Elephas maximus indicus: one gene and its partner. The protein of the gene in region 1 interacts with the protein of each later gene in a pairwise test. Links are inferred from orthologs where the notes say so. Each region holds a gene or a part of one and is shown on either strand. Other genes may lie near its edges.

The links.
Region 2: the proteins of CIBAR1 (region 1) and CBY1 interact in binary tests that used the Homo sapiens proteins (3 or more experiments, as listed by UniProt). The two-hybrid records come from large-scale screens. The link is inferred for Elephas maximus indicus from reciprocal best matches to the Homo sapiens genes CIBAR1 and CBY1.

Annotation. Positions count from the first base shown.
Region 1 is NC_064833.1:48,274,948-48,291,111, reverse strand, and holds the start of CIBAR1 (CBY1-interacting BAR domain-containing protein 1), read left to right. Parts: upstream 1-7,542; 5' UTR 7,543-7,668; coding exon 7,669-7,694; intron 7,695-8,319; coding exon 8,320-8,554; intron 8,555-11,130; coding exon 11,131-11,199; intron 11,200-12,600; coding exon 12,601-12,741; intron 12,742-16,164. UniProt on the Homo sapiens protein: Plays a critical role in regulating mitochondrial ultrastructure and function by maintaining the integrity of mitochondrial morphology, particularly the organization of cristae.
Region 2 is NC_064822.1:182,554,302-182,570,465, forward strand, and holds the start of CBY1 (protein chibby homolog 1), read left to right. Parts: upstream 1-6,321; 5' UTR 6,322-6,363; coding exon 6,364-6,441; intron 6,442-11,664; coding exon 11,665-11,784; intron 11,785-16,023; coding exon 16,024-16,129; intron 16,130-16,164. UniProt on the Homo sapiens protein: Inhibits the Wnt/Wingless pathway by binding to CTNNB1/beta-catenin and inhibiting beta-catenin-mediated transcriptional activation through competition with TCF/LEF transcription factors.

The DNA of each region.
Region 1 (16,164 bases):
CACAGCTCTACTATGATATTAATAGCAGTTAACTTTTGTGGCGCACTTACTGTGTCAGGTACCATACTTAACATCCAGTATTCCACTTAATCTTCACATAATCCTATGAGGTAAAGTAGGCTAAACGGTAAGGAAGTCGAGGCTGAGTTTCGTCACTACAGGAGTCTGGAACAGTGGTTCTCAAAGCGTGGTCTTGAACCAACAGCATCAATATGCTGAGAATTTGTTACAAATGCATGTTCTTGGTCCTCACTCCAGACCTTCTGAATTAGACTTTCTGGGCCTGGGGCCTAGAAAGCTGTGGGGTTTTTTGTTTGTTTGTTTGTTTGTTTGTTTTTTCTCCTCCTTTTTTTTTTTTATTATGCTTTAAGCATACAATTCAAGTCAGTTTCTCGTACACAAACATATACACACATTGTTATGTGACGCTAGTTGCTCTTCCTATGATGTGACAGCACACTCCTCCTCTCCACCCTGTATTTCCTGTGACCATTCAACCAGCTCCTCTCACCCTCTGCCTTCTCATCTCACCTGTGGACAGGAACTGCCCACATAGTCTCATGTGTCTACTGGAGCTAAGAAACGTACTCCTTACCAATATCATTTTATGTCTTATAACCCAGTGCCGTCCAGTCTAATCTTTGTCTGAAGAGTTGGTAGAAAGCTGTGTTTTAACACGCTCTAAAAATTATTCTGATGCAGGTTAAAGCTTGATATAGTAATGGAGACAGGTTTTATGTCCAAGTTGTAAGATGTCAGAGTCTACTAGTTAAAGGTGATTTCTACTTAATACCCTGCCAAAAAAAACTATCTGATTTCAGGGCCAGTTTCATTCCAACCCTTGGATTCTAGCGTTGACCAAATCATTTTAACTACTAAACTAACCACTAGAGGGAGTCCCTTGTTCTTGTGTGTGGAGTCAGTTCCTACTCATAAAAAAAAAAAAAAAAAACTCATAGAGACCCTAAAAGAGAGAGTAGAACTAATCCATAGGGTTTCCTAGGCTGTAACCTTTACAGCGGAGCCCTGGTGGTACAGTGGTTAAGAGCTCAGCTGCTAAACCAAAGGTCAGTAGTTTGAATCCACCAGCCACTCCTTGGAAAGCTTATGGGGCAGTTCTATTCTGTCCTATATAGAGTCACAATTGACCCGATGGCAACCCGTTTGGTTTTATTTTTCAATCTTTACGGGAGCAGAATTCAGCTCTTTTCTCTCATTGGGCACCTAGTGGGTTTGAACCACTGACCTTTCAGGTAGCAGCCAAGCTCTTAACCATTGCACCACCAGGGCTCCTCGAGGGAGTCCCTACAGATCTTCAAATACTGAACCTTCCAAAGTGTTTTAAAAAAATAAACTAGACGAAGCACACACACCCCTACCTAAATCTTTTGCTGGAGAGATGTATTATTTCTATGTATCAGCATTAAAACAACTTGCTCAAGTTACTTAACATGGAACAACTGTATTTGAAGTTATGTTTTTTAGACATAAACCTAAATGAGTGAATAAGGGTGATATAACTCTTTGACTCCACTGGACCCCCTCTTAACCCATCCTAAATAAATTGGAATTCATTCAATATTATGCAAAATAAGACTATGCCGTTCTCACAATAAATATACAAATATGATATAGTAGTTTAAGAAAGTCTGTACATGTATTGCTTGTAACCTGGGACAATAATTTTCAGGAATTTTGTAATGTTATCCCCAAAGATTGACTGATCCTACGACACACACCCTCCTTCTTCTCAAAATACTGAATGACATTCACTTATGTGATGGTTAACATTGTATGTCAACTTGACTGGGCCATGATTCTAAGTGCTTCGGCAGTCATATGATGTTATGATCACCTCCATGATGGGATCTCCTCTGAGCAGCCAATCAGCAGAAAGGGAGTTTCCTTGGGCTTGTGCCCTGCATCGAATATAAGTGGACATTCTGGAAAGGCTTGTGGGCTTTTTGCTCTTGCTGGATCCTGCAGCTGGCTCCTGTTTGTTTGACCTCCAGTTCTTGGGACTTGAGCTAGCAGTTTACCTGAGGTCTTGCCTACCAATCTTGGGATTCATTGGTCTTAGCAGCCTGTGAGCAAGAGCTCTGCTCTCTGACCTGCCGATCTTGGGTTCGGCAGCCCCTGTGGCTACCTGACCCACAGACTTAGGACATTCCAGCCTCTATAACCGTGTGAGCCATTTCCTTGATATAAATCTCTCCCTATATATATATGAAAACCCTGATGGCATAGTGGTTAAGTGCTATGGCTGCTAACCAGAAGGTTGGCTGTACAAATCCATCAGGCGTTTCTTGGAAACTCTATGGGGCAATTCTACTCCGTCCTGTAGGGTCACTATGAGTTGGAATCGGCTCAACAGCAATGGGTTTTTATACATATATATATATATATGTATATATACCAAACCCATTGCTACATGTATATATGTAGATGCCTTACTGGTTTCGTTCCTCCAGAGAACGCAGCCTAAGACAACTTACTAATTAAAATAACTTATGTTTCAGAACTTTCAAAACATTATAATTCTTGAGAGAGAAAAAGAAGAAGGAGAAGAAGAAGAGGAGGAAGAAGAAAAAGGGAGAGAGAGAGAGAGATTCTGGTAAAGTGGAAAGACCATTGGAGATGGAAGACAAAGGATTTAACTCCAGCTCTCCTGCTATTTCATCATGTGACCTTGGCAAAGACACTTGACCTCCCTGGGCCGCCAGCTCCTCTTCTATGAGACGGTGTATCTTAGGAGGAAGTGTAACATATAAGAAAAGAAGTGCCCCTAACTATATCTCTCTACCCTCCACTCTACCCTCACTAGCTTTCTTCTTTTTCTTTACTCACACCATGCTCCCTTGGTCATGGGCTTTCACTTATTCATTCGGTTTTTCATTGATAAATTCAACTAGTTATTGAGCCCCTACCGTACGATGCTGCCACCACCCATCTGCCAGTTTGCTGTACTGTGACGGCTTGCATGTTGTTATGATGCTGGAAGCTAGCCACCAGTATTTCAAATACCAGCAGGGTCACCCGTGGTGGGCATATTTCAGTGGAGCTTCCAGGCTAAGACAGGCTAGGAAGAAAGACCTGGATATTACTTCCACAAATCAGCCAATGAAAACCCTATGGATCACAAGGATCCAATTTGTAACCAATCAAGGCAATGGTGAAGGTCCAGGTAGTGTTTCATTCTGTTGTGTATGAGGTCACCGCGAGTCAGGGACCAATTCAGTGGCAGCTAGCAACAACGTATCAAGCACAGTGGTGGTACAGGAAATATAACGGTGAAAAAGGTATTCTCATGGAGAATATATTCTAGTCATGGGAGACAGAAATAGCATAGAAAAAAATGGATTAATTTCAGAGAATGTTATGTGCTTCAAAGGAAACACAGTGTATTCTGGGTGATCGGGGAAGCCTCACTTTTAAGCAGAATCCCATATAACAAGAAGTAGCCACGTATGTGAAGATCTGAGGAAGGAGCATTTGGGGCAGAGAGAATAACAAACACACAGCTGATTCTGAAATGAGCTTGATATATGCAGAGCAGAAGATAGTGTAGCTATAGCACAGTAGGGGAGTCAGAGAAGATAGATGGGTAGGCAGAAGTGAGATACGGCCTTAACAGCCAGGATAAGGATTTTTCATTTTATTTTAAGCACACCGGGAGGCTGTGGAGGGTTGGCATGATCTGATTTACATTTTTGATTTTGCATTGCAGCCTGTAACAGTGAACATGGGGAGGCTTTTGCCGTAAGGGTACTTTTCAGTAAGGAAGTTTTTGCAGTAGGGGTAAATGATGAAGGTCGTTTGGATTCTGATAATGTAGAAGAAATTATTCAGGATAGGTTTTAGAGGTGAAACAGTTGGAAATTGTCAGTGCGGCAGTGGAAAGTATATGCTCTCTTGGTTCCACATACTTTTCTGTATTGGTTGTGGTAGAGTACATATTGTGTTCCATTGCAAAAGTGGCCATCAGTTCTCCCCCTACCTACTCACCATCCCTATTGTTGTTGTTGTTAGTGGCCATCAAGTAGAACTACTCGATAACTGTGACCTTTCAGAAGCAGATCACCAGGCATGTCTTCCAAGGTGCCTCTGAGTGGGTTCGAACCCCCAACCTTTCAGCTAGTAGTCAAGTGCTTTACCATTTGCGCCTCACTGCCCCCTAGCCATAAAAATTTGAGTGCTCTCCCATGCTGACTCTGGGTCATATGACCTGCTTTGACCAATAGGATTTTAGCAAATGCAACATGGGCAGAGACTTGAAAGACACCTGAGCAGGGACGCTTGTCCTCTCCCATTGTTTCGGAGCCCTTTCAACAGTAAGAAGCCTGGATAACTTGCAGGGAGAACAAGAAACATGTTAACCCCTGTTGTCCCCACTCCCAGACAAATGAATGAGACCATCCTAGATCATCCAGCCACTAGCAGACCTGCCAGCTGATCAGAAAGGTATGACAGCCCAGGTGAGCGGAGTCAAAGTACGAGAGACACCCAGACAACTCAGAATCTTAAACTAGTGTTAAAACAAAAATCATATTCAGCCAATAATAGGAATTGATTTAAGTTTGTTTAATACATGATTTGCCAATTGGGATAACATTTATACTAACCCAAAATCCTAGAGAGTCAAAAATGTTCTGAACATGAGAGAACTTCAAACACTCTTACATGAAATCGTATTGGCATTGCCGTGGAAAAAAGGGTCAGGACAGAACCGATAAACTAATTTATGGTCAGGAAGGATTTTCATACAGCAGTGTCTGGAGGAACAATTAAAATAATTACCAATGTACCCTAAACATAGCTCCCAATCTGATCTTTGGAGTCTGTTTCCCGAAACTGACTGATTTCTTCAAAAGAGCACAATGCCCAAGGCAAAATGGTCTTACTGGTTTATCTAGTAAGGAGTCCTGGTGGTGCAGTGGTTAAGCACTCAGCTGCTAACTTAAAGGTCGGTGGTTTGAACCCACCAGCAGCTCTGTGGGAGAAAGGTTTGACAGTCTGCCTTCATAAAGATTACAGCCTTCAAAACCCTATGGGGCAGTTCTACTCTGTCCCATAGGGTCACTATGACTCTGAATTGACTGGACAACAATGGATTTGTGTGTGTGAGTTTTATCTTGGTCTGGTTTATCCAGATCATTGTTTGACTCAAAGGCCATATCCAGGAACCAGTTCCTCCAAGGCTCAGGGTTCAAAAGGAAACCCCAGGATAAATGTCCTGGGAAGGTCACCCCAACTCCATTGTTCCAGAACTCTGGATTTCAGGAAAATGAAAAGGTTCCTCACTAGCTAAAGGATAATTTTAAGCCACTAAATATTGCAGTACTTTGTTACACAGCAAAAGTTGATACAGTAGTACATACCTCAGTTGCAATTTAAGGTGTAGCTGTTTATCAGTCTCTTCCCCACTTCCCTCCCCGCCAACCCCCCAACCCCCCCCAGGAGACTGTGAGCTCTATAAGCGCAAAGACTTTTCTGCTTTTTGCTTATCACCAATGCATGCTCAGAGCCCAACACAATGCCTATTTTAAAATAAGTAAGACTGACAATTAAGGAGATCAACTATTTGCTAAGAGAAAGAGGGAGATGTGCAAATGGGCAAACTGAGAGACACTGGTGCAGCTATGGCGAAGTGGTTTTTTTGCTTACATGCCATTTACAATCTCTTGATGAAAGAATGTACTGTTGGTCCTTTGAAGGTTGTACAGTAGTGCAAAAAACAAGTCACATGAAATACACAAAAGTCTTAGAGACACAGGTCTTGGGAAAAAGAAAATTTTAAGCTAAACATCTACCATCCGTTATGAAGTGATCAAGGTCCTTGGGAAAACAAAAAAGGGGTATTCTTGGGAGATTAATGAGGTTGATTGGCAGGGGTATATCTAATGATAACATGCCCAGAAGTCTTGGAGCATTGTCCATTCTTTTGGGGAGTTATTTAATTTTAACACCTGGGACATACCAGGCAATGGGAGCAGACAGTTACATGTTGTAACATAAGAGAATGAGGTGAGTTCCATAAGAGAGGTAACAAAGGACTGGGGAATGCATTTGTTTAAAAAAAAAAAAAAAAAACTTTTATTGAACAGCACTGAGCCCCGAGGAGTAGAAAACCAAGACCATGTTTTCTCTGCCTACAAGAGCCCAAAGTCTAGTGCACAGGAGACAGTACAAAACCTGTATATAAGAGAGAAAGGGACCCCTAAGTCTGCCTTGATGAAAGAAGGATGGGTGGAGCCTAGGAAGTCTCCCTGACAGTTAAAACTTGTATTTATTCCTAAAGGTAAATAGGTGTTTACATGGAAGAGCAGCACAAGTAAAAGCCAATAGGCCTAAAAGGACATGGTTGTTCAAAGGAGAAAGAAATGTCTCCTGTTGTTTATCTCAGGGGTGGTTCAGTGATGGAATTCTGACTTTCCATGCAGGAGACCCAGGTTCCATTCCCAGCCATTTCACCTAGGGCAAAGTCATCAACAATCTGTCAGTGGAGGTTCTTGTGTTGCTATGGTGATGTAGTGGTTAAGTGTTACAGCTGCTAACCAAGAGGTTGGCAGTTCAAATCCACCAAGTGCTCCTTGGAAACTCTATGGGGCAGTTCTACTCTGTCCTATAGGATCAACTATGAGTTGGAAACGACTTGACAGCAGTGGGTTTGGTTTTTGGTTTATGATGCTAAATAGGGTTCAGAGGAGCTTTCAGACTAAGATGGACTAGGAAGCAAGCACTGGCTAGTGGTCTACTTGCCAAAATTAGCCAATGAAACCCCTATGGATCACAACAGAATATTGTCGAATACAGTGCTGGAAGGTGAGCCCCATAGGTTGGAAGGCACTCAAAATGCACGGTGGCCATTACAATAGACTCCATCCTATCAAGGATTGTGAAGATGGCACAGGACAGGCAACATTTGGTTCTCCTGTACCCTGGGTTACCATGAGTTAGAGCCCACCCCACCGCAACTAACAAGTCCTCATTACACTGTAAGGCCCTTCAGGGTAGGGATACCTTCTTTTTACCTTTGTATTATTCCCATTGTCTACCACAATCTGTTCCAGAAAGTAGGAAGTCAACAGATACTTGTAGAATAAACGCCCCTTCCAAAGGCAACCTCCAAGAGCCCACATTTTCAGATTTAACACAGAGACGCAGACAATTTGACATATATTTATATAAAACTAAATGTCGCATAAGCACAGACTAGAACCTATTTGCTTTTAGTTTTACATTTTCCTCCGGTCTACTGGGTCGCTGTGAGTCGGAATCTACTGGACGGCAACGAGTGATTGGTTAATTGTCCCTTTTCTCCTTTCTAGTCTGGAAAGACTTGGATTGGGTGTTTGCTAAATGAGGCTCTGAAAGAGGACGAATGGCCCCGCGGGCTTTTCCTCTGCTTGCGATAAACTCCAAGGGGAAGAATGTGTGGGGGTGGCTCCAGGTGACTCCAGCTTTGACTGCAGGGCCAGAGAACGCCGCGGCCGCGGGGACTCGCGCTGCGTTTCCATAGAAACGCCCGGGTCCGCGCGGCGGCGCGCAGGGCGGGCTCTCCAGCTCCTGGCGACGTAGGCGGCGGCTCGCGCCGCAGCGCGCGTTCGGGCCCCTCGGATCCTGGTCGTTGGGTCCCCGCCCGGGGTCCTCTGCCTTGCGCGAGGCAAGATGTTGAGGCGCAGCTTGGAAAACCGGTAACAACCCCGGAGCCCCGCTGCCCGGAGGCCCTACACGCGAGGGCTCGAATAGGGGACGTGGAGCGTCTCTCCAGGAGCCTCCGCGCCGAATTCCGGCCTAGGCAGGAGGCTGGACCGACCCGTGGCTCTCTGGGGCCTACCTCCCTGGGCCGGAGGGAGCCCCGGCGGCCGAAGGGAGCCCGGGGGGTGGGCTGGCTGCCACATACCCACGCTCCCCAGGTTCTGGTCCCGGCCCTGCCGCGGGCCGTGCAGAAGCCTGAGAGGCAGTCGGCTGCCCACGCCTCTCCTGGCGCCCAGGCCGCGTAACGCGGAGACGCCCCGCAGCCCACGCCCCGCAGCCCGCACCCCGCAGTGCGAGGCCCGCCCGGGCCCGGCCTCTTCTTGGACCTACCCTGTCGGGATATTGAGGCCAGGCTGGGAATGGGGTCCTGGATGAGCGAAAGAGACAATTATCCGCAAAATTGCGGTGAGAATCCGCCCCGAGAGATCGTTGGATTGTTGATGGTTGCGTCTTCGAAGCTGCAAGACGCCCGGGAATGTTTGCATATTGAATTAACATAACGATGAAGGCATCTCGTCTCTAACAAGAATGTTTTGCTTTTTGTGTCACCTTTTTCTCTAGGGACGCTCAGACCAGACAACTGCAAGATGCTGTCACGAATGTGGAGAAGCATTTTGGAGAACTGTGCCAAATCTTTGCTGCTTACGTGCGGAAAACTGCCCGACTGAGAGACAAAGCAGACCTCCTGGTGAATGAAATCAACGTGTATGCCTCCACAGAGACCCCACATTTAAAGCAAGGCCTGAAAAACTTTGCTGATGAGTTTGCCAAACTTCAGGATTATCGCCAAGCAGAGGTATGGCGTGAGGTCACAGCGTCATTGTTACGAATGAGCAGTGAAGTGGATAAAGGAACCGGGAAGACGTGCACGTGTTATCTCCCTAACTGCAGTGGTGAACACACTCTTGATAAACGTACAGATTTCCATGTCCGTTACCCTGCGTGAGTCTGTTGAAGGGAACCTTTCTGGGATTTATTTTACCATTTTCAAGTCAAACGTTAGAGTCTTTTCTTGAAGTCTTGAATTTCCCCACTGCCAGTTTTTGGCCAAGGGGTGGCCATTTAGAGGTGATAGTAAGCTTAGTATCCATGGGAAAGAAAAGAAGCATGACTATGTCTGGTGTCCATGTAAGCATATTTTAAAGTGTGTCTGGAGATTCAAGATGTTGGGAATGGTATGTGAATAAGTAATAAATAGGCAAGATGCTTCCATGCTCTGGAGTTTGGCCAATGTTTCATTGACAAAAAAAGAAAAAAGCACTGATGCAAACCAGTAGTTAACCACTTGCCAACTAGTAGACTTATACTCACGTTGATCCATACTCACGTAGACCCCATGTGCATTGGAGTAGAACTGTTTTCCACAGGGTTTTCAGTGGCTGATTTTTTTGTAAGTAGTTGGTCAGGCCTTTCTTGTGAGGTGCCTCTGTGTGGACTGAAACCTCCAGCCTTTCTCATTAACCTTTCCTGTTAACCATTTGTACCACCCAGTAGTTATTTGTGGGTTTGTTTGTTTTTTCCTTTTTTGGGGCAGTGGAGAGTAGAAGATGGTGCTGTAAATGTTTTCTTTCTAAAAGCCTTTTATTTTCCTTTAATACTTCATAAGAATTTTGTTATGTTTATTTAGTTTTCCAAGACACAGATTAACTTGTTAGAAGTTGCCCAGTTACAGCTGCTTTGTTTTTTGTTTTTTTAATGTACTTTTTTATTGGTGCTTTTGACCTTTCTTAAAACCTAGAACACATTTGTGATCAAAGATAAGTAAAATGAGAATATTAATCTTTGAACCTACAATTGCTATCCATACAGAACTAGACTAGAAACTAGAGAAGCTCAGAGACTTAAGAAGTAATTAATTACGTTTGGGGGTACTTTCTGGGAAAATGTTGCGTTCTTATTCTATGACATGTCTTCTGTAATAAACAAGTCACTCAGTTATACATGATAGCTGGGGACTTACTGTCTCAAAAATAATTTATATTCACATGGTCCTAACATCCCATTTTGGCCAATAATTTCAATACCCTTTTCTAGAAAACCTTTATGCTATTTCTCAAATAGCAAAGTGAACTGATTTACGTTTGTTCTCCTTTTATTTCCCTTGCTTACAAAATGGTGGAGTTGCTAATGAACAATGAAATGAAATGAACAAAAGGTAGGCAACAAAAAGGAGAACAGAACAGATAATCAGTATGGGTTATTAGAAATGATATAGACTTTAAACTATCCTGAGTAGTTATGGTTTTGATTCTAGGATTCCTGATATTTAAATGCTTGGTGGGGACTGGATTTTTTTTTTTTTTTCCTAAAATGAAACATTCTTTTTATTTTTTTATTTTCCTAAAAGGAAATATTCTGTACATTTTGTTTATAGGAACTAAAGAAAAATCAATATGAAATGTATTCACTGATTATATAAATGTGTCATCAAAAAAGCCTTTTACCTGTTATAAAAATAATACATGTTCATTTTAAACAATTATGTGTCATCTCTACTGAGAGAAAAAAAAATTTAATGTCTGAGAGAGTTATTTTTCTCCCGTGATACACTTTTCTTATGCTACCTACTTGTCTTTTTTTAACCTGTTTTTCTTCAGTGCCTTCCACTAGTGGTAATGGTAAGAGAAATAGCTACTCAAAATGTGATAAAAATTAATGTTTACGAAAAACTGTTTAATGCATAACGAAAAAGGGAATCAGTGTATACTAGGGGAAGAAGAGCGATCAACCGCATAGTTCGACAGCTCAGCAACAGAGACCACTTATCTTATTTTCTAGGCTTTGCTAATTTACAAATGACTTCTCAGAAAAATTGCAGCTAATAACAGCATTTCCTAGGCCTTTTTTGCTTTTGAGCAGCTTTAAATATTTCCGATATTCTATATTTTTCAGCTTCAATTTTCTTATCTGGAAGGTGGGCTTTTATGTTTCAGAAATAGCATATATGAAGTATCCAACACTGTGCTAACACATTGAAAATGGTAGCTGTATTAAAATTGAGGTGTCTTAAAACTTGCCCCCAAAGCTGCAACTTTAAGGTCGAAAAGCCATACACAGTTGATGGTTTGGCAGGGATGAGCTCCTTGGGACATTCTCTGGTCATGTTGCATACCAGGTACATTTGTGTTTTCACTGTTACTGTACAGATTAACCATTTTTAATGTGCTTGAATTTAGAATTTTAATCTTACCCATTTCTGGTGATAATCCTTTTATTTAAATAAGTTAAACAATAGTGTTTTAACTTAAATTTAAAAAAAATACTGAACTCTGTAGTAATTGTGTTCAGGTTAAACACAGGTTTTATTTCAGAATTTAAATTTTGATATGTCTGTGTTTCTTTTCAGTTATGTTTTATAATAATTTTCATTAGGTTGAAAGACTTGAAGCCAAAGTAGTTGAACCTTTGAAAGCTTATGGAACCATTGTAAAAATGAAGCGGGTGAGTAAATCTATTTTTTTCTCCTGTTGTTAAGTATTCTGAGAAGGCGTATGAGGTTTCTAATAATTGTCCTTTTAATAAAAGGTAAAAAGCAGTGTTTAGTCATTCTCTTTAGATACCTTGAAAGATCGTTTCTTAGAACTTTGAAAATAATGAAATGTTTTTTTGTGAGTTTACTAAGGACAGGCCAGTTCCTGGGTTATGAACAAGATCTGTTCCTAACGGTGTCTTTAAGTCGAATTTGTATGTAGGTAAGTCGAAACAGGTGCATATGGTTTTTATTTAGCCTCACTTCAGTGCAGGAAGGAAACCCTGGTGGTATAGTGGTTAAGAATTCTGCTGCTAACCAAAAAGTCAGCAGTTCAAATCTACCAGGCAATCCTTGGAAACCCTACAGGGCAGTTCTACTCTGTCCTGTAGGGTCGCTGTGAGTCAGGATGGACTCAACAGCAAGGGGTTTGTTTTTTGGGGTTTTAGTGCAATAAAGAAGCCCTAGTAGTGCAGTGGTTAAAGCGCTCAGCTGCTAACCAAAAGGCCGGCAGTTTGAACCCACCGACCACTCCGCAGGAGAAAGATGTAGCAGTCTGCTTCCATAAAGATTTACAGCCGTGGAAACCTTATTGGGCAGTTCGACTTGACGGCAGTGGGTTTGCTTTGGTTTTGCTTAGTGCGAGAAAAGGCTTAAAGCCTTTTTAATGATTTAAAATCTGCACTTGCAGCAAGAGAAGGTGATTGTGATGAAGAATTTGTTGTACGTTGAATTGAGTTGTTTCAAAGTGAAGGTAAATTTATGTAACACAGAAGGGCAAATGTCTATTTGGTCAGACATTTGCAACCTGGGGACTGCCTGTATACTACTCTAGCAACATAAGATATTATTTTTTTTTGTTATGGAAACTTTTAGATATTTAATATTTGTAGTCAGAAAGAATATATCGACAGAAATTGTTTTACTATATGAATAGAAGATTATATTTTTGTTTTAAATTGGTGATAACATTTTGACTTTAGAAATGAGTGTAACGGAGTTCTGTTTTTTAAATCAGCTTTATTGGGGTGCAATTTCATGCAATAAAATTCTCACATTTTAACTGTTTACTGAGTTGATTAATGTGTATGCCCGTGCAGCCACAATCAGTATTGTATACGTTTTTATTTATTTATATATTTATGGTTATAATTTTGCATTGAAATGATCTTTCTTGTCTCTCTCATTTAAAGGACTTTAAAGAAACAGACGTATGCACCCATAAATACACATTTGTTACGCAGTACTAATAATTCCTGTAGTAATGGCACCTGGAGCAAACAAGCAGCTTTCTCTTAGTCTTAAAACAGAGTGTGTGTACTTTATTTCTTAAATCCAAAATTTATATTAACAAAGAAAATGCATATCTGTAGGATGACCTCAAAGCAACATTAACAGCAAGGAATCGAGAAGCTAAGCAGTTAACCCAGTTAGAAAGGACACGGCAGAGAAACCCATCTGATCGACACGTTATTGTATCCTTTGAATTTTGGTTTTTTAAAGTATGTTGTAAGGTATGTCATACAAAAGTCAGCAAGTATGGAAATGATGCATTTCTGTTTTCCAATGTGTGGAGAATTTGAATATAAAGGTTAAAAAGAAACACATAGGTTTAGGAATTCTCACTGTAGCACTTAGCTAATTTTGAAGTTTCAGTCCCTTTATATTATCCCCCAAAATAGACATCCCCCTCAAAGGAAAAAAAACTCATAAATGCAGATGCTTTATAATTATAAAGGGTAAATTCAGAATTCTGAGATTTTTTTCCACGTAGTGATGATGACTAAATATTAATTATAAAATTAACTTAAAAGTCTATCGTTAAGCCTGATATAACAGTGCCCTCTCTGCCCCACTTTTGAGAAAAGGAAGGAAAAAATTTCCCATAATTGCTTTCATTCTTTAAAAACAAAAAATATGAAACCACATTTATGACTTTCAGCAAAAGACCCTCAAGAGATTCCAGAGTATAATTGAGATCCTCAGCTGGACACAAAGGGATCTAGATGGGAGTGACTACTGTAAGAAAGTTTCTATGAAACATGACTATTTTCTTAAACTAGAAAAAAGAATAGCAAATAGTGCCTGGCTAGTTGCCAGCACCTGGGGTAGGTGGGACTGTCTAGAAAGCACTAACTTATCCCTGCTGCCTCTTTTTCCCGTTCCTTCTTATATGTGTCTCCTTCCTACTTCCTTAAGGTTGTCACTGCCCAGCTCACCAGGAACCATGTGAAGAGTGGCTCTTTGGGGGCACTTGAGGTTCCAGAGTACCTCCATTCCTGAGGGGAGTCCCTTGAGCAGTGATATATGGGGTGCACCAGTTGCCTGGTCCTTCTTCCTTTGGACCAAAGGTACTTAAGCCCAACCTTGTACTAAACAAAACAAAAGAGAGCAGCCAGAGGGCTGGGACTGTCCATTGGAGGCTGGGATAGGAAGGTCTAGATGGAAGTTGAGGCTTAAGATCTTCAAACTACAAATTATAGAGAGTCTGTGTTGTTTTTTTTTTTTTAAAAAAGTCAGACAAACCAGAGAGTGCTAGAAAATGCATAACTGACAAATGGATTGAGGCAGAGACCAGGAAATGTTACCAGTGTTTAAGAATTAAGCCAGTAACTTTCACTTACAGTGCAATTAAAAAAAAAAAATTTCAGTCAGAGATAAAAAAAAATTTGTCTTTTGGTGGAGAGGGAGCGTGAGGGCAGAGAAAATGGAACATCTGGAGTCCTGAAGAGTTGGCAAGATTGAATCAGGGCTATTGGTATCAGCAGTCAATGTGGAAATGGATCTAGTCTTAAGACAGAGATTTTTCTGACTTAGGTGCTTTTCTCTGAACACTGCTGTGGAGAAGGTGGCCTGAGTATAGATGAATCAAGTCCGTGGGTTCACGTGGGAGGGAAATAAATGCAACATACATAGCTCACTGGCAAAGAGCTATATATGACTCCAGTAGATTTTGACAATCTGAGACTAGAAAATAAAGCACAATTTGTATATAAATGTATTCAATATAAATATACTTAATCACTGTTATGAGTCGGAATCAACTCGATCGCAACGAGTTTGGTTTTTTTTGGAATCATTGCATCCTTGAATTTTTACCAGAATACCTATTACTATCGAGCTGATTCTGACTCAGAGCGACCCTGTGAGACAGAGTAGAACTGCCCCATAGGGTTTCCAAGAAGTAGCTCATGGATTCAAACTGCTGGCCTTTTAGAAAGGAGCTGAGTTCTTAACCACTGCATCACCAGGGGTAGACCGTTAAAAATCTTCTGACTCTTTGTTCAAATGAAGTGTATGAACGTTCAGTGTGTAAAATAAAACAGAGTCGTTCTGGTAGATGGGGGTGGGGTAAAGAAGAATCTTTGGGCCCTCCCTGCTCACCCCTCAAGGCCCCATGTAGCCTCTGAACAAGTTCCCTGCGACACAGTTGGAAAAACAGCAGTCTGGCCCACCCCTTTATAAATCATTTTGAACTCTTGACTAATTTCATTAAGTATACTGATATTCTCGGTCTTTAGTATTTTAATCAAAAGCATTTCCTGCTCACATTGTTGTATTTTAGGATTTTAAAGATATGTCAATGAAAGGAAGAAACATTAGATATCTGTATTCTCTTTATTTTGCTAAAAATAGTTGTATAACTTTAGGTGAGTTGCTGTGCCCCGGTAAGTAGATTTCAAACTTTCAGAAATGAATAGTAGTTGCTGAAGGGTGGTAGATAAAAGTACGGGTGTCTCAGACGTTGCTTCTTCCTCCCCACTCTTTTTCATAGTTTTACCAGCTCTTCCAACCCTTCCAAAATTTAAAATGAAAGTATCAGTAAATGGGGAGGGGAAAGACATGAAGCAAAGGAGTTATAAGAATTGCATCATTTACACGTAATAAACAGTATTAGCAATTATTAGACTTGAATGTTCTCATTAGCAAAAGGTTAACATGCATCAAATAACTGTTAGGAATTTTTTCATACTGACAGATGTTCTAAAAACTCTATTTTTGAATTTCCTGCGATGAGGTTGGAAATCCTGGCGGCATAGTGGTTAAGTGCTACGGCTCTTAACCAAGAGGTCAGCAGTTCAAATCTGCTAGGCGCTCCTTGGAAACTCTACGGGGCAGTTCTACTCTGTCCTATAGGAGTGTTATGAGTCAGAATCGACTGGATGGCAGTGGGGTTTTTTTGGTAATGAGGTTAATTCCAAGCCCAATAATGTAGAGCATTGTTTTTTATCACTGGTTATAATTTAAAGCTTGCATTGTTTTAAAAAAACTTCACACCCTACATAACAAATGGATACACATACTTTAACAGCTTTTTTGAGGTATAGGTGAATATATTTAAATGCTTAGTATCTTGTGTATTTGACTTAACCTACTTGCAAAAATATATAGTTAATAGAGTTATAAACCAAATATAACCTGATTGTAAGAGTGTATAGTTATAGAAGACTAAATGATTTTAACTTGTTGAAAGAACTGTTGTATTCTTTTGAAGTGTATTTTTTCCTTTATGAAAAATTTCAGTCACAGGTGGGTAATAAAGTGGAGTGCCAAGAGATGGATCCTTATAGTAAATCCCTTTTACTTGTTTCAATTTATATATTTTCTTGAAAAAGCGAGGGCTAGTTGTCAGAATTTTAGAATCTTAAATGTAACAAAACTTTGAAAACAGATGCAGTTTTTTCCCAGATTAAATATTAAATGATGATGTATGATATTTTTAAGTACATAAAAGAGTATGGAAAACAAAACTTTATTAAGAAGAATTAAAGAATTGGAATATGTTTTTTTAACATCTGTTTAACAAAGAATTTTAAATGTTTTTGGGCAACAGTCGCCGTAAAGGAAGAGACAGTTTTTAGAAGAAAGACATGATTAGATTGGAAATGCTCTGCCTTTACAACACTGTGGCTACTAGCTACAGGTGGCTGTTGACC
Region 2 (16,164 bases), on another chromosome or scaffold:
GCAGATGAGCGGAAGAATAAGACACCTTCTGCTCTCAAGGAGCACACACACTCTGGCAGCTGATGGTCAAGTGTCCCCTGTTTAAAGACAGACTTGGGTTTGAATTCGCTTGTATCTAGTTTAACTTTCAGTCATTCAATGAGTATTAACTGAGTGCCTTCCAGATGCCAGCAGTGTGCTGGTACTGGGGAAGGAAGGGTGAGTTGTACCACACATGACCCCTGCCCTGATGGAGCTATGTTTAGTGGGTGAGACGTTCAATAATCAAAAATTATACAAATCATTATGCAATTATAACTGCGACCACTGCTTCGAAGTTACACAGTGCTATGAGATGACATAATAGTGGATTTTGACCCAGTTAAGTGAACAATCAGCAGTCTACCAAAGAAGGGAAGTCCTACAGCCTCCCCTATTAGAAGCTGCCTGAGCAGGCAGTGGTGGCACAGTGGTAGAATTCTCGCCTTCCAACCAGGAGACCCAGATTCGATTCCCGGCCACCGCACCTCACGAGTAGCCACCACCCATCTGTCAGCAGAGGCTTGTGGTTGCCGTGGTGCTTAAAAGGTTTCAGTGGAGCTCCCAGACTAAGACAGACTAGGAAGAAAGGCCTGGTGATCTAGTTCCAAAAATCAGCCAACGGAAATCCTATGGATCACAACAGTCCAATCCACAACCGGCCATGAGGAGGGCACAGGACCTGGCAGCATTTCAGTCCACTGTGCACGGGGTCGCCATGCGTTGGGGGCTGATTTGACATTATTCAAATTAATTTCACCTGTTTTTTTTAGGTTTCTTTTTTGTTTTTCCTTTTAAAATGTAGCTACCAGACAAATTTAAATGACCTGTAGCTCACCCTGGTGGTGTAGTGGTTAAGTGCTAAGGCTGCTGACCAAAAGATCTGCAGTTGGAATCTGTCAGGCGCCTCTTGGGAACTCAACAGGGCAGTTCTACTCTGTCCTGTAGGGCCCCTGTGAGTCCGAATTGACTTGATGGCAGTGGGTTTGGTGTTTTTTTTTTGGCAGCTCACATGACATTTCTACGGGACAGCACTGGCTGGGCCATGCCGATTTTGGTTCCAGGACGTGGAACGTTCTCCTCAGTGCAGTGTGCTGTAGTTGCACGTGGAACCAGGAGACTCTGGGCTTCTGTCCCTCACTGGATGGACGAGCTGGTGCATCCACTAGGCACCCAGTAAATATCCTTTGAACGAAAAAATAAATGACCCTGAGTTTATTTATCAGACGGTACTAATACACATTGTTAGGCTTTAGGAGTTCTGGAGCTGATCCTTGAGTAGTTAGTTCTCTGTTGTTTGTTCACTATGCGACCTTGAAACGACCCCTGTGCCTCAGTTTCCCCAGACTGTAGAAGTCGACGAGTCGGGGCGCAGGGAGGGGGCAGGCCCGCGGGCAGCCCGCGCGCTGCCCAAGGCAGAAAGGCGGGTCCTCGTCCGTCAGTGCAGCCGTCTTACCTGAAAGCATTGGCGGGATCCGACGACCTCGGGGCCGGTTCTGCCACAGGTCCCTCAGGGGACCCTGCAAACTTCTGGAAAGTGGGCTGGTGCCCTTTGCTTTTTGGTCAGAGAGGATGAGGAGGAGGGGAGGCGTCAGGGAGAGGCCCATTTTGCTATTGTGAGTCCCGGCGTTCTCAAGGCAACGCAGGCGCAACTGCCACGTTCCCAAAACAATGGGCCCGCCGGCGCCACGGTGGCGTCCGCCAGACGCCGTTACCACGGTGACGGGCCGCCCCGCGGGCTGTAGGGACCAGACCAATGGATTTGTGGGGAGGGCGAGGATGGCTCCTCGTCCCGACCTATAATATGGGGCATGTAAAAGCCTCCGCGAGGCACTGCCTTTGTATACGCCGTTTAATACGTCTCGGGGAGCCTGCGGGAGTTTCTGGTGCCTCGCGCAGGCACGCGTCGGAGACCCCGCCGCGCCGGGTACCCCCACTTTCTGTGATGGTCGAGGCTGCGCAGGCGCGGTGGGCGGGCGGTGGCGAGGCCGGGCAGCCGTGGGAGCGCCGGTTGATGGGGGACCCTGGTGGGGTCCTCGAGCGAGGTCTCGGCTGGGTTTCGACCGTGGCGTTTGGTACAGCGTCAGGTACGTCTCCGAGCTCGGCGCCGCCGGGGCAGCGAGGCCGGAGGGGCAGAGGAGGGGTGGGACGCCCCGGCACCGCGGGAGAAGGTTCCTCAGTTTATCTAGGGCCTCCCCGCAGCTGGAGGGCCAGGGGAACGTGAGGAAGGGGGCGGAGGCCGGGTCCCATCACCTCCCTTTTCTAGGTCTGTTTCCTCGATTGTAAAATGGCACGGTAATTCCTCCCCCGATTGTACGTGAACGTTTGTTTACAACCTTCCTTGAGTCCGACAGCCCTGGGTGACCCGAGGCATGTGCTTGGCTGGTCTTAACCCTTTGCGAGACACGTATCCCTTTGAGAATTTGATGAAAATCAAAAACTACTCCTTTGCCTTCTTATTAGAATTAAAATAAGGCAATGCATTTTGTGACCCTTTGCAAACTGTAAAGGGTCACTGTCGTTAGTGATTATTATTCTCGGAGGATAGGAGTAGACCTTGGCTGAAGCCTCATTCCATGACCTTCTTGTGTGATTTGGGGAAGTTATTTGACTTCTCTAAGCCTCAGTTTTCTGATGTGTAAATGGAATATTTACCTGACCTGCATCCCAGGGTGGTTGTGAGGATTAAATGCCACAGGTTTTTATAAAGCACTATGACAACCTGTGAGTCAGGTCTATGAGTATCCTTGATTACAAGTGAAGAGGCCTTGGCCCAGAGATGATAGGTGCTGGAGTCTGAGCGGCAGACTAATGGTTGGAACCCAGGTGTTCTCCTCTGCCTTCACATCCTTTGTGCTGAGCCCTCTCTCCCCAGGGAGTTTCACCAAAAGAAGGCTGCCTTGGGCCCTTTTTAAATAGCTGGGACCCTCAGGCCCATGCTTCGTTGTTGTTGTTAGTTGCCATTAATCAATTCTGACTCCTGGCAATCCCACGTGTGCAGAGTAGAACTGTTCCATAGGGTTTTCTCAAAGCTGTGACCTTTCGGAAGCAGATTGCCTGGCCTGTCTTCTGAGGCACCTCCAGGTGGGTTTGAACTGCCAACCTTTTGGCTAGAAGTCAAGCATTTAACCGTTTGTACCACCCAGGGACTCCCAGGGACACTAAGGCCCCAGAGTCCCAGACCTTCCTTTTCCTCAACTGTGATACATGGAAGACAATTCTTGGTTTAAAGATTATGAGAATTAATGAGGTCATGAGTCAAGTGCCTTAGTTAAAACCCAGAGAAATAAAGCAACTTGGCCAAGGTTTAGCAAGCAACTGATGGGCAGAACCAGGCCTAGAACCTGGTCTCTTGTGTCCAGGTGATGTGCTCAGGCATAGTGCTTGTAGCATCATCGGAGGCTTGGGCAGGAACAACTTGGCTTATTTTTTCTTCTTCCAGTGTCTCCAAATGCTTGGAGGGGCTGCTTTTTATCTCTTTTTTGTTTGTTTTGTTTTCGTAACTAATATGTGAATATATTGTCATTATAATAAAGTCATTAAATCCGGAAGTATTTTATAATTATATTAGAAGTCCTGGTGGTACAACGGTTAAGCACTCAGCTGTTATCTAATAGGTGGGTGATTCAAACCCACCCAGTGGCTCCCTGGGAGAAAGAGCTGGCAATCTGATCCTGCGGAGATTACAGCCTAGAAAATCCTGTGGGGCAGTTCTGCTCTATCACGTGGGGTGGCTCTGAGTGGGAATTGACTCGATAGCACCTAACTACAAGGTTTGATGATAGATTCTTTGGATGGCAGGACGCAACACAGAGTCCCTCGGATAGATGAAAGGGAGAACTCTTGGCTACTAAAGCTCCAAACGAGAGAAGGCTGCCACGCTGGGCTACACAGGGCCACACGGGCGGTTGCACCTGGGGACAGGATAACAGCAAGCTGGAGCTGTAGGAGACGGCTTATGTATGGTAAGCAGGGTGGGTTAGCTAGGTTTCATGGATTTCTTTGGAATTGGGTATTTTGAATAATTCTTCAGACCCAAGAAGAAAGTGTCATCCCTAAGTGTTAGGCATCTCGGGGCTTCTGGCATTTGGGTATGTGTTGTTGGAGCCCAGCAGTGATAAGAAAGGAGCTGGAGTAGGCTTAGCCAACTGCCGAAGAAGGAGACCAGAGAGTGTTTAGCCAGGGCCTCCATTCTGGATCAAGAACGCACTTATGAAATATTATCTTACCAGTATATTTCTTTAATATAAATAATTTAGCATTATATTATATTTTATGAAATTCCCACTATTTGACCATCTTTTACCTATAAAAAATGGCAATTTCATTTGATGATACTCGTGAAGAGTGTGCTTCTTAGCTAAATTGGCAGCTTCTTTCCGGAGGTGAGATGAGAAGGCAGAAAGGGACAGGAGCTGATTGGATGGACATGGGAAATCTGGGCTGGAAAGAGGGAGTGTGCTGTCATATTATAGGGATAGCAACTAGGGTCACATAACAATGTATATATAAATTTTTGTGTGAGAAAACAACTTGAGATGTAAACTTTCACCTAAAGCACAATAAAAATAAAAATGGCAGTCCCACTGGACTTCATTATCCTACTCTTCTTCCTGGATTTAACCACTATAAACAGCTTGGTGCATCCTTCCAGGTCTTTGTTGTTTTTATGCGCATGTGTAAATTCTCACTTTTGTCTTTGTGTCTTCTCGTATGAAATTATACTATATACGTTGTTGCACCCCTCATTTTCTTAAAGTTAGGGCGTATGTTGTAGGTTTTTTCAGGTCAGTCCATATAGAGCTATCTCATTGTTTTTAATGACTGTTTAGTATTCCATTATAAGAATGTATCCCAGTTTATTTGGCTGCACCAACCACTGGTGTAGACGTTTTGCATTGCTTCTTGTTTGTCAGTATTATTAACAAGAGCGAACATTTGTGTGAACATGCACAAGTGCTTCTGAAGAATAATCTCTAGACATGGATTTGCTGGTCAGAAAGTAGGCATATTTAAAATTTTGCTAGGCTTTTTGTGTAATTGCCCTTGAAGGAATTATAACGTCTTATGTTTCCACCAATGGTAAATGAAAGTGTCTTTTCCCCACTATGTCGGGGGTCAGGACGACCACCCCGGTTTGATGATTCACTAGGAGGACTCACAGGACACCACATATCATCTCACTCACAGTTACGATTTACTGCAGTGAAAGGACACAAAGAAAAGTCAGCAACGGGAAAAGGTGCGTTGAGTCTGGAGGAAACCAGGCAAGAGGAGTCATACAAGATGCACTTAATTCCTCTGCAATGAGTTGTGAAAACGGGTGAAATCTCTACCAGGGAAGCTCATTAGAAATTCAGTGCATAGAATTTTAACTGGGGCCTGGTCCCTTAGGCACCCTCTGCCTAGCACATACCAGGATTCCAAACTCCCAGAAGGAAAGCAGGTGTTCAACATAAACCGCTGTTTGTACAGTCTAGGCACGGTGAGCACTCTTATCAATTCTGGGAATGGCAAGGACCTTCCTGAAGTTCAAGTTCCCAGAACCAGCCAAGGACTAACCTTGCAAGCAGGCCTTCCTAAGGCCTACCTCCTCACCAGCATTGAATGGTACCCTTTTTTAAAAAAATTTGCCAATATCCAGCATGAAAATGGTGCTTCTTATCACATGCCCTTCAAGTTTTTATACAAGGGTAATTTGGTATACTGCTTTAGCCAACTGACCATGGGATCAAGGAATCTTGGGATTGGACAGTCTAAATCCTTACCCTGTGGCAACACAGCAAGGAGTCTTCCACTTGCTTAACTACTTCTGGGAGTAGGTGTTACACCTCCTTCTCAATACAGCCCTTTTCATCTTTGGACAGGCTAGCTCTGAATGTAAGAAAGTTCTTCCTGAGGTGGTATGGTACCTAGGAAGAAGGATGGCTTAGGAGTCTTTTTTTTTTTAATGGGCTTAGGAGTCTTGCTTAGCTCCTTTACTCACTGGCTGTGGACCTTGAGAAAATTGGTTATCTTCTCCAAGCCCTAGTTTTCTCATCTTTAATATGAATAGGAAAATACCTACTTGCAGGGTTGCTGCGAGGAATAAAAGAAATACATAAAATATGTACAACATAGGGCCCAGCCCATGATGGGTATACAGGCAGTGATATTCATTAGTGTTTGGTACTTTGCCGTTTCTTGTTTGAGTTAATATCTTTCTCCCTGGGTATTGTTCTGTTTCATTCTTGTTTTGTCCTCTACAGATATAAGGTAATTCTCCTCCATCTTCTGTATGACCACCACCTTTCTCCTCTCCAGCAGAAACTATGCCCCAGGGCCTTCCTGTGTGTTTCAGATGACATGGTGGCACACTTCAAACTCCTGCAACATCCTGGTCCCCACCCCTGTCTTCTCCACCACCAAGCTGGAAGCATTCTGGTTTGTTCAAGCCCCGAATTGTTGTGCCCAGGGCCAAACTGTTTTAATTATAAACACATACCTACCTGATAAAAATATCATGAGCACACGCGCCCTCAGTATCCTTGTATTTATTTACAAATCATATATACGTATATTTCTGTGCCGTATAATGTAAAAGAACAAAAAACTCATTGCCATCAAGTCAATTCTGACTCATAACGACCCTATAGAGCAGAGTAGAACTGCCCCATAGGGTTTCCAAGGAGCAGCTGGTGGATTCGAACTGCCGACCTTTTGGTTAGCAGCCAAGCTTTTCACCACTGCGCCACAAAAAATCCCTAAAAGAGCTTCTAAATGTCTGTCATTAATTTTAGTGAAATTAATTTTGGCATAACTGAAAACAGCATACTAGTTTTTCTTCATTTTCTTGTTGGATACATATTTTGCTAATAGTGATGGATTCATTCTATGAGTTATCTTTAACAATATTTGATATAAAACCTGATTTCATGTTCCACATTGGTAAGTAGTGTCTGATGGTGTAGTGGTTAAGAGCTATGGCTGCTAACCAAAAGGTTGGCAGTTCGAATCTACCAGGCACTCCTTGGAAACTCTGTGGGGCAGTTCTACTGTCCTTTAGGGTCGCTATGAGTCAGAATCGACTTGATGGCAATGAGTTGGTTGGTTGACTGGTGACTGGGGTCTTAAAAGCTTGTAAGCAGCCATGTAAGATACAACTACTGGTCCCTACTCATCTGGAGCAAGAGAAAGAAGGAAACCCATACTCAAAGAAGAAACTAGTCTACAGGTGGTCTGCATGAACCATGGCCTCATCTACCCTGAGACCAGAAGAACTAGATGGTTCCCAGCTACCACTACTAATCATTCTGATCAGGGGCACAGTACAGGCAGTCCCTGGGTTACGATTGAGATCCATTCCTAAATCTGTCTTTAAGGCAAATTGGTAGGTAAGTTGGAACAGGCACCTAACAACAACAACAGAACAGGTACATATGGTTCTTATTTAGTATCAATTAGTCAAATGTTTGTCTTAGTATACAGTATATATTTTACCTTTCTAACCAAAGGGGTTGGCAGTTCAAATCCACCAGGCGCTCCTTGGAAACCTATGGGGCAGTTCTCCTCTGTCCTATAGGGTCGCTATGAGTCGGAATCGACTCGACAACACTGGGTTTGGTTTTTTAGTTTTATGCATATAAAACACTTAAGAAACACTTCTGAACCACGCAGTGTTGCCATGAGCATCACAAAGTAGTGTATTCATTCATTATTACAAACCATTGTATGTATTTGAATATGATAGATTTTATGGCAGTCCATTCTTAAGAAACCCTGGTGGCATAGTGGCTAAGTGCTATGGCTGCAAACCAAAAGGTTGGCAGTTCAAATTCACCAGGTGCTCCTTGGAAACTCTATGGGGCAGTTCTCCTCTGTCCTATAGGGTTGCTATGAGTCGGAATCTACTCAACGGTAATGGGTTTGGCTCTTTTTCCTTTTTAATTCTCAAGTATGTTGTTGTTATTATTGTTAGGTGCCATCAAGTCAGTTCCAAGCCATAGTGACCCTATGTATAACAGAACAAAACACTGCCTGGTCCTGCACCGTCCTCACAATTGTTGTTATGCTTGAGCCCATTGGTGCAGCCACTGTATCGCTCCATTTCGTTGAAGGTCTTCGTAGATTCATACATTCCACATTCTGATTATTAAGGGATGTTTGCAGCTGTTTCTTCTCATTTTGAGTTGTGCCACATCAGCAAACGAAGATCCCAAAAGCTTGACACCACCCACATCATTAAGGTCAACTCTACTGTGAGGAGGACCCTCTTCCCCAGTTGTCTTTTGAGTGCCTTCCAACCTGGGGGGCTCATCTTGCAGCACTATATCAGACAGTGTCCTGCTGCAATTCATACGATTTTTACTGGCTAATTCTTTTTAGAAGTAGACTGCTGGGTCCTTCTCCCTAGTCTGTCTTAGTCTGGAAGCTCAGTTGAACTCTGTCCGCCATGGGTGACCCTGTTGGTATCTGAATACCAGTGGCATAGGTTCCAGCATCACAGCAACACGCAAGCCCCCCTAGTACAACAAACTTGACAGGCACGTGGGGGTCCTCAAAGTAGAGTAGACCTAAATGATGTGGATGGAGTAAAACTTTCGGGACCTTAATTTGCTGATGTGGCATGACTCAAAATGAGAAGAAACAGCTGCAAACTTCCATTAATAATTGAAATGTGGAATGTATGAAGTATGAATCTAGGAAAATTGGAAATCATAAAAAATGAAATGGAACGCATAAAGATCCATACCCTAGGCATTAGTGTGCTGAAACAGACTGGTATTGCCATTATGAGTTGGACGATCATATGGTCCACTACGCCGGGGATGACAGATTGAAGAGGGACAATATGGCATTCACTGTCAGAAGATGTCAAGACCTCTTCTGAGTTACGGTGCTGTCAGTGATAGGATGATATCCACACAGTACAAGGAAGACCAGTTAATACGACAGTTCTTCAAATTTATAATCCAGCTACTAATGCCAAAGATGAAGAAATTGAAGATTTTTACCAACTTCTGCAGTCTGAGATTGAGCAAACCTGCAATCAAGGTGCATTGGTAATTACTAGTGATTGGAATGTAAAAATTGGAAAAAAGACGAATAGTTGGAATACGACCTTGGTGATAGAAATGACACCAGGGATCACGTGATAGAATTTTGCGAGACCAATGACTTATTCATTGGAAGTACCTTTTTTCAACAACATAAATGACGACTATACACATGGAGTTCACCAGATGGAATACACAGGAATCAAATTGACTACATCTGTGGAAAGAGACAATGGAAAAGCCCAATATCATCAGTCAGAACAAGGCCAGGGGCCGACTGTGGAACAGACCATCAATTGCTTATATGTAAGTTCAAGTTGAAACTGAAGAAAAAACAAGTCCACGAGAGCCAAAGTATGACCTTGAGTATATCCCATTTGACACATTGAACACTAATGACCAAAAAGACCAGACAAGTTGTGGTAAGACATCATGGACATCATACCTGAAGAAAGCAAAAGGTCATTAAAAAGACAGGAAAGAAAAAAAAGACCAAAATGGATGTCAGAAGAGACTCTGAAATTTATTCTTGAACGTAGAGTAGCTAAAACGAATGGAAGAAATGTTGATGTAAAAGAGCTGAACAGAGGATTTTAAAGGGTGGCTCTAGAAGAGAAAGTAAAATATACTTATTTTTTAAAGCTATTTCTGTATTTTAAGTTAAAATTGGGTAATATATGGGAAAAAAGAACCCTGACCTGTATCTCACACAATATACAAAAATTCCAGATGAATCATAGCCTTAAATGTGAAAGTTGATAACATTTCTAAAAGTTAATATAATACCATTATGCTCTTTGGCAGACAAAAATTTCTTAAATAGGACACAAAAACACTATAAAAAATAGATAAATTAGATTTAATTAAAATTAAGAATTTCTTTAGTCGAAAGAAACCAATAAGGAAGAGAAAAGGTGAGCCCCAGATTGAGAAAAGATATTTTTCAGTGCTGTACATATATCTAACAGAGGACTCATATCCAACATATATAAAGAACCCTTACAAATCAATAAGAAAACAAAGACAAATAGGTAAAAAAAAAAATGATAAAATACTTGAACATTTCAAAAAAGAGGGTTTTATCGATGTCCAATAAGTATGTGAAAAAGTATTCAATTTAGTTATCGGGGAAAAGCAGATTAAACAAACAGTGCAATACCACTGCACGCCTGCCAGAATGGATAAAAGGAAAAGACAGAAAATACCAAAAGTTAACAAGGTTGTGGAGCAACAAGATCTTTTGCACGGTGCTTGTAGAAGTACAAATTGGTACAATGACTTTGGAAAACTGTTTGGCAGTATCTACTAAATCTGAATGTATGAATCCCCTGTGACTAACAATTCTACACAGAGAACCAGAAAAGTGTACATGTGTGTACTGAAATACATGGCTAATCATGTTCATAGCAGCACTATTTAAAAGAGCTGAAAACTGGAAACCATCCAAACGTCCGTCATCAGTAAAGTGGATAAATACATTGTGGTGTGTTTAAACAGTAGAATATTTTACAGCAGTGCAAAGGAACAAACTACAACTACATGATGTTGAGTAAAAAGAAAGAAATCTCACAAATATGTTGAATCAAAGAAGCCAGAAGTAAAAGAGGACATATTATACAAGTCCATGGACACAAAGGGCTTGGGCGAGGCTTGTGGGGTGCTGAAATGTTCCGTATCCTGATCTGGACGGTGATCACACAGGTGTATGTGTATATGCGTGTAGTAAAATCTCCTCAAGCCACACTTAAGATCTGTGTACTTTTCTGTAGGTCTGTTAACACTGATTTAAAAAAAGTTTACCTCCCCACACCCCCCGAGAAAAACTGGGTGATGTCAGTAAATTTATTTAACTGTGCCTTCGTGAATTGCACTAGGTCGCAGTATGCAGAAAGCAGATGTATAGATGAGGAGCCATTGTCAGCTCTGCCACGTTGTGAACCTCCCCCTTTCCTCCGGACACCTCACCATACGGGACAGGCAGCCTTCTGACATATGACCTAGTGAGGGGCACTGTTAGCAGTCTGGAGTGAAATATCAGCAAGGCTTCATTTCTTTAAAATGGACTGTATGCAGGGCGATTGCTCCAGGTGTAATTTTTATGGTGTGCAGGAATAGGAGGGATTGCATTGACTGCTGTAGACTACACATCTGCTGATGCCAACCGTGACAAAACTTAAGACAGGCAGGGTAGGCACTGGACAATAGTGGTTAACACACGGTAGAGCTGGACAGACCTGGGTTCGAATCCATCTCGCACTTATGATCTCAGTCTTTCTAAACCTCATCTGTCAAATGGATGTAATAACCGGCACTAATCACCAGGTTATGTGAGGATTAGATGAGATGTCACATGTCCTGTCAGATGGGGATAATAATAAGCACTAATCACAGGGTTGCATGAAAATTAAATGAGATATTGCATGTAAAGGTCTTAGCATACCACCTGGTGCATAGTGAGCAGTCAACACACTTGAGATATTGTCAAGATTGGTAATAGTTTATACTCAGACAAAGCCGTGAGGCAAAATGTATATGTCTCCATGATTTGAGGAAAATGGCACAAGGTCACTAATCCAGTTTTTTCCATCCTTGACTTTTTTTTTGACTCTAGGAGAAGGGAGCAGTGATTGACCTTTCCTTCATCAGGCCAAAGATGCCTCTCTTTGGGAATACGTTCAGTCCGAAGAAGACGCCTCCTCGGAAGTCAGCTTCTCTCTCCAACCTTCACTCTGTGAGTATTGGAATTGTGGTCAGCACAGTGGATGCCTGCAGTGGCAGGCCTGGTCTGTGGTGCAAAGTGTGGTCCTCAGGGCATCCTTTTAACTCATCTCATTGCTATCGGTGAAAACATATTTCTGAACTCTAATTTGGAAATTGTCAGGACCTGTTGACGGCACTGGTTTTTTATTGTTCAAGAAGAAAACAGAAATCCTCACAACTGGACCAATAAGCAACATTATGAGTAGAGAAAAGACTGAGGTTGTCAAGGATTTCATTTTACTTGGATCCACAATCAGTACCCATGGAAGCAGCAGGCAGGAAATCAAAAGACACATTGCGTTGGGCAAATCAGCTGCAAAAGACCTCCTTGAAGTGTTGAAAAGCAAAGATGTCACCTTGAGGACTAAGGTGCGCCTGACCCAAGCCATGGTATTTTCAGTCGCCTCGTATGCATGCGAAAGCTGGACAATGAATAAGGAAGACTGAAGAAGAACTGATGCCCTTGAATTGCAGTGTTGGCGAAGAATATTGAATATACCATGGACTGCCAAAAGAACGAACAAATCTGTCTTGGAAGGTGTACAACTAGAATGCTTCTTAAGTGGAAGGATAGCAAGACTATGTCTCACATACTTTGGACATGTTATCAGGAGGGACCAGTCCCTGGAGGAGGACATCATGCTTGGTAAAGTAGAGGGTCAGGGAAAAGAGGAAGACCTCAATGAGATGATCTGACACAGTGGCTGCAAGAATGGGCTCAAACATAGCAATGATTTTGAGGATGGCACAGGACCGGGCAGTGTCTCGTTCTGTTGTATACAGGGTCGCTATAAGTCGGAATCGACTCGACAGCACCTGACAACAACAACAACATTGTTCAAGAACCTAATACCCAGACCCAGTGCAAGAACCTAATAAGAGAGTCAATTTCACTATGGTTTTTGGCCCCAAACAATATCCAATTTGACTTTTACTTTATTCTCAAGGCTTAGCCAGGAATTAATTTTAGTTACTTCCATGAATCAAATTTATTCTCAAAGGATGGTAATTTGCCACCATTAAGGGCATTCCAGAGGATATTCCATGGCTTCAAAGGTAGTTGCAAAAGAGATGTTACAGCAGTGTTTGGAGCAATGGCAATAGCATTGGGATAAATGATAGCCTTCCAAAGCGACCTACTGTCTATTTGAATGTACAGTCTCTATAAATTTTAAAAATTAGGAGTTTGAAGTTAGACCACATCCAAATCAATTTCCATTCCTAGTTGTGAGATGGCCCCCCCATCTCCACCCCTTGATGCATGCATGCGTGCATGAGCACGCGTGCACACACACACAGAGACGTCTTTAGAGCAGCTGTGACCAAGTACTGGGTACTTTATGTTCGCTGTGATCCTACCTGCCCATGTGGCTCTCACACACTCAGGCTGTCAGTCTAAGCCAAGAAGTCATGGAGCCTGGTTTCCCTGATGTTTTCTAGAAGTCCTTAACAGAAGGTGAGGGGCGTGGGGCTGTGAGGGCTGAGCATTCACCCAGGCCTTTCGGTCTTTGAGCCCATCGTCTCCAGTCCCTAGTCAAAATCATGGGGGGGAAGCCCCACTGTGACCATGTTGGGCATCCAGTGAAGCAGGCCAGGCAGAGGCCCAGGCTCTCAATTTCTGGTGCCTGATGGTCCCTCTGAGACATCCCATGTCCTAATCACAGAGTGTAAGAGCAGTGGCATGAAGTCAGCCCTCCATCTAGAGGGTTTGACACATCCCCAGAGGTAGGTGTATACCATGGTAGGGAATAAACCTCTACAGTGCCTTGTATGGTAACCAGTGGTTTTTATTAGCTCCCCATTACTATGGGACAAGGTCCTTGATCTTGAGTGTTGTCTTAGTCATCTAGTGCTGCTATAACAGAAGTACCACAGTGGATGGCTTTAGCAAAGAGAAATTTATTCTTTCACAGTCTAAGAGGCTAGAAGTCTGAATTCAGGGTGCCAGCTCCAGGGGAAGGTCCTTGTCATCAATCTTCCCCTGGCCTAGGAGCTTCTCAGCGCAGGGACCCCAGGTCCAAAGGACATGTGCTTCTGGCTCTTCTTGCTTGGTGGTATGAGGTCTCCCTGTCTCTCTGCTCCCTTTTCTCTTTTATATCTCAGAAGAGACTGAGTCACGATACAACCTAATCTTGTAGATTGAGTCCTGCCTCATTAACATAACTGCCTCTAATCCTACCTCATTAACATCATAAAGGTAGGATTTACAACCCATAGGAAAATCACATCAGATGACAAAATGGTGGACAACCACACAATACGGGAATTGTGGCCTAGCCAAGTTGACACACCTTTTTGGAGGACACGAGTCAATCCATAACAAGGTGGTCCTAAGGCCCCTCACAGGCTCTTCCCAGCTCTCCTTCCTGCCCCCACCCTCTACACCTTAAGCTTCAGCCACAGGGACATCATACTCTCCCACCTTCGTGCATGCTAGTCCCTCTGCCTACCATGCTTTTCCCTCTTCATTAATTCAGAAGGTATTAACTGATAACTTGCTATGTGCCAAGCACCCTTAGAGGCACTGAATATAGAGAAGTAGACTAAGGAGAGAGGAAAAAACAATCAAATCCCTGCATTTGTGATGCACATATGTTAATGGAAGGAGACAGAAAATTTATATATTCAAATAGGAATATATATTAAATAGCAAGTAACTTTACATCAAATGGTAATAACTGCTATGGAGAAAAGGAAAGCGTAGGTCTGGGGTAGGGAGATGGGAAGGGTGTCCTCATCTTAAATGGGATGGTTAGAGAAGGCCTTACATCCCACACATACCTGAAGGGCTCCTCCTTTTGAGATGCCCAGGTCTAACCTGAAGGAGTGAAACCTCCTTGCAGGCAGAGGTGGTTGTAGCCAGCTCTATATCCACAGTACCTGGTCCTGATTGAGGTGGTGGCAAGGAAGTTGTGTAAATGAATATGTAAATTGTGTTGATACATATTAAAAAGCAATAGCCGCTACTAGTTGGGCTTCAGAGCTCTATGCCCTTGCCACTTCATGTTCTTGTTAGGTGCTGTCGAGTTGGTTCCGACTCATAGCGACCCTGTGTACAACAGAACGAAACACTGCCCAGTCCTGCACCATCCTCACAATTGTTATGCGTGAGCCCATTGTCCCAACCATTGTATCAGTCCATCTCATTGAGGGTCTTCCTCTTTTTTGCTGACCTTCTACTTTACCAAGCATGATGTCCTTCTCCAGGGACTGATCCCTCCTGATAACATGTCCAGAGTATGTGAGATGAAGTCTCATCATCCTCGCTTCTAAGGAGCATTCTGGCTGTACTTCTTCCAAGACAGGTTTGTTCATCTGGCAGTCCATGGTATATTCAATATTCTTCACCAACACCACAGTTCAAAGGTGTCAATTATTCCTTATTCGTTGTTCAGCGTTCACATACATATGAAAATACCATGGCTTGGGTCAGGTGCACCTTAGTCCTCAAAGTGACATCTTTGCTTTTTAACACTTTAAAGAGATCTTTTGCAGCAGATTGGCCCAATGCAATACATTGTTTGATTTCTTGACTGCTGCTTCCATGGGCATTGATTGTGGATCCAAGTACAATGAAATCCTTGACAACTTCCGTCTTTTCTCTGTTTATCATGATGTTGCTTATTGGTCCAGTTGTGAGGATTTTTGTTTTATGTTGAGGTGTAATCCATGCTGAAGGCTGTCATATTTGATCTTCTGTAAGTGCTTCACGTCCTCTTCACTTTCAGCAAGCAAGGTTGTGTTATCTGCATAAGGCAGGTTGTTAGTCTTCCTCCAGTCCTGATGCCCCGTTCTTCATATATAGTTCAGCTTCTCGGGTTGTTTGTTCAGCACACAGATTGCATCATATTAAGCAAGTGATAATTTAAGGGCCTATTACATTCAAAAAGATTTTCACTTTTTAAAATTATAGATTTGGATCCCTTAAACTGTCCAGTAGATACAAAATAATTCACTCTACAAATGTCAGTATGTATAGTTTTTTTGGAAAATATATGTTATATAAAATGGTACATTTCTTCTCTCACATAGTTTAAAAGTTTTTTTGTGCGTTATCTGATTTCCTGACCTTCTAAAAAAATTGTTCAATGTGCAAAATAGTGATTGGAGAAAAGGAATGTGTTTCTGGGATCGTATAGTTAGGACAAAAGGAGCTGGACACAGCCCATGTTCTGGCCCTTGGAAGCTATCACGCGGTGTCTCCCCACAGCTGGACCGGTCCACCCGGGAGGTTGAACTGGGCCTTGACTACGGAACACCCACCATGAACCTGGCAGGGCAAAGCCTCAAGTTTGAGAATGGCCAGTGGATAGCAGGTGGGCTCCATTTCCTGCCCTTTTGTCAAAGCAGA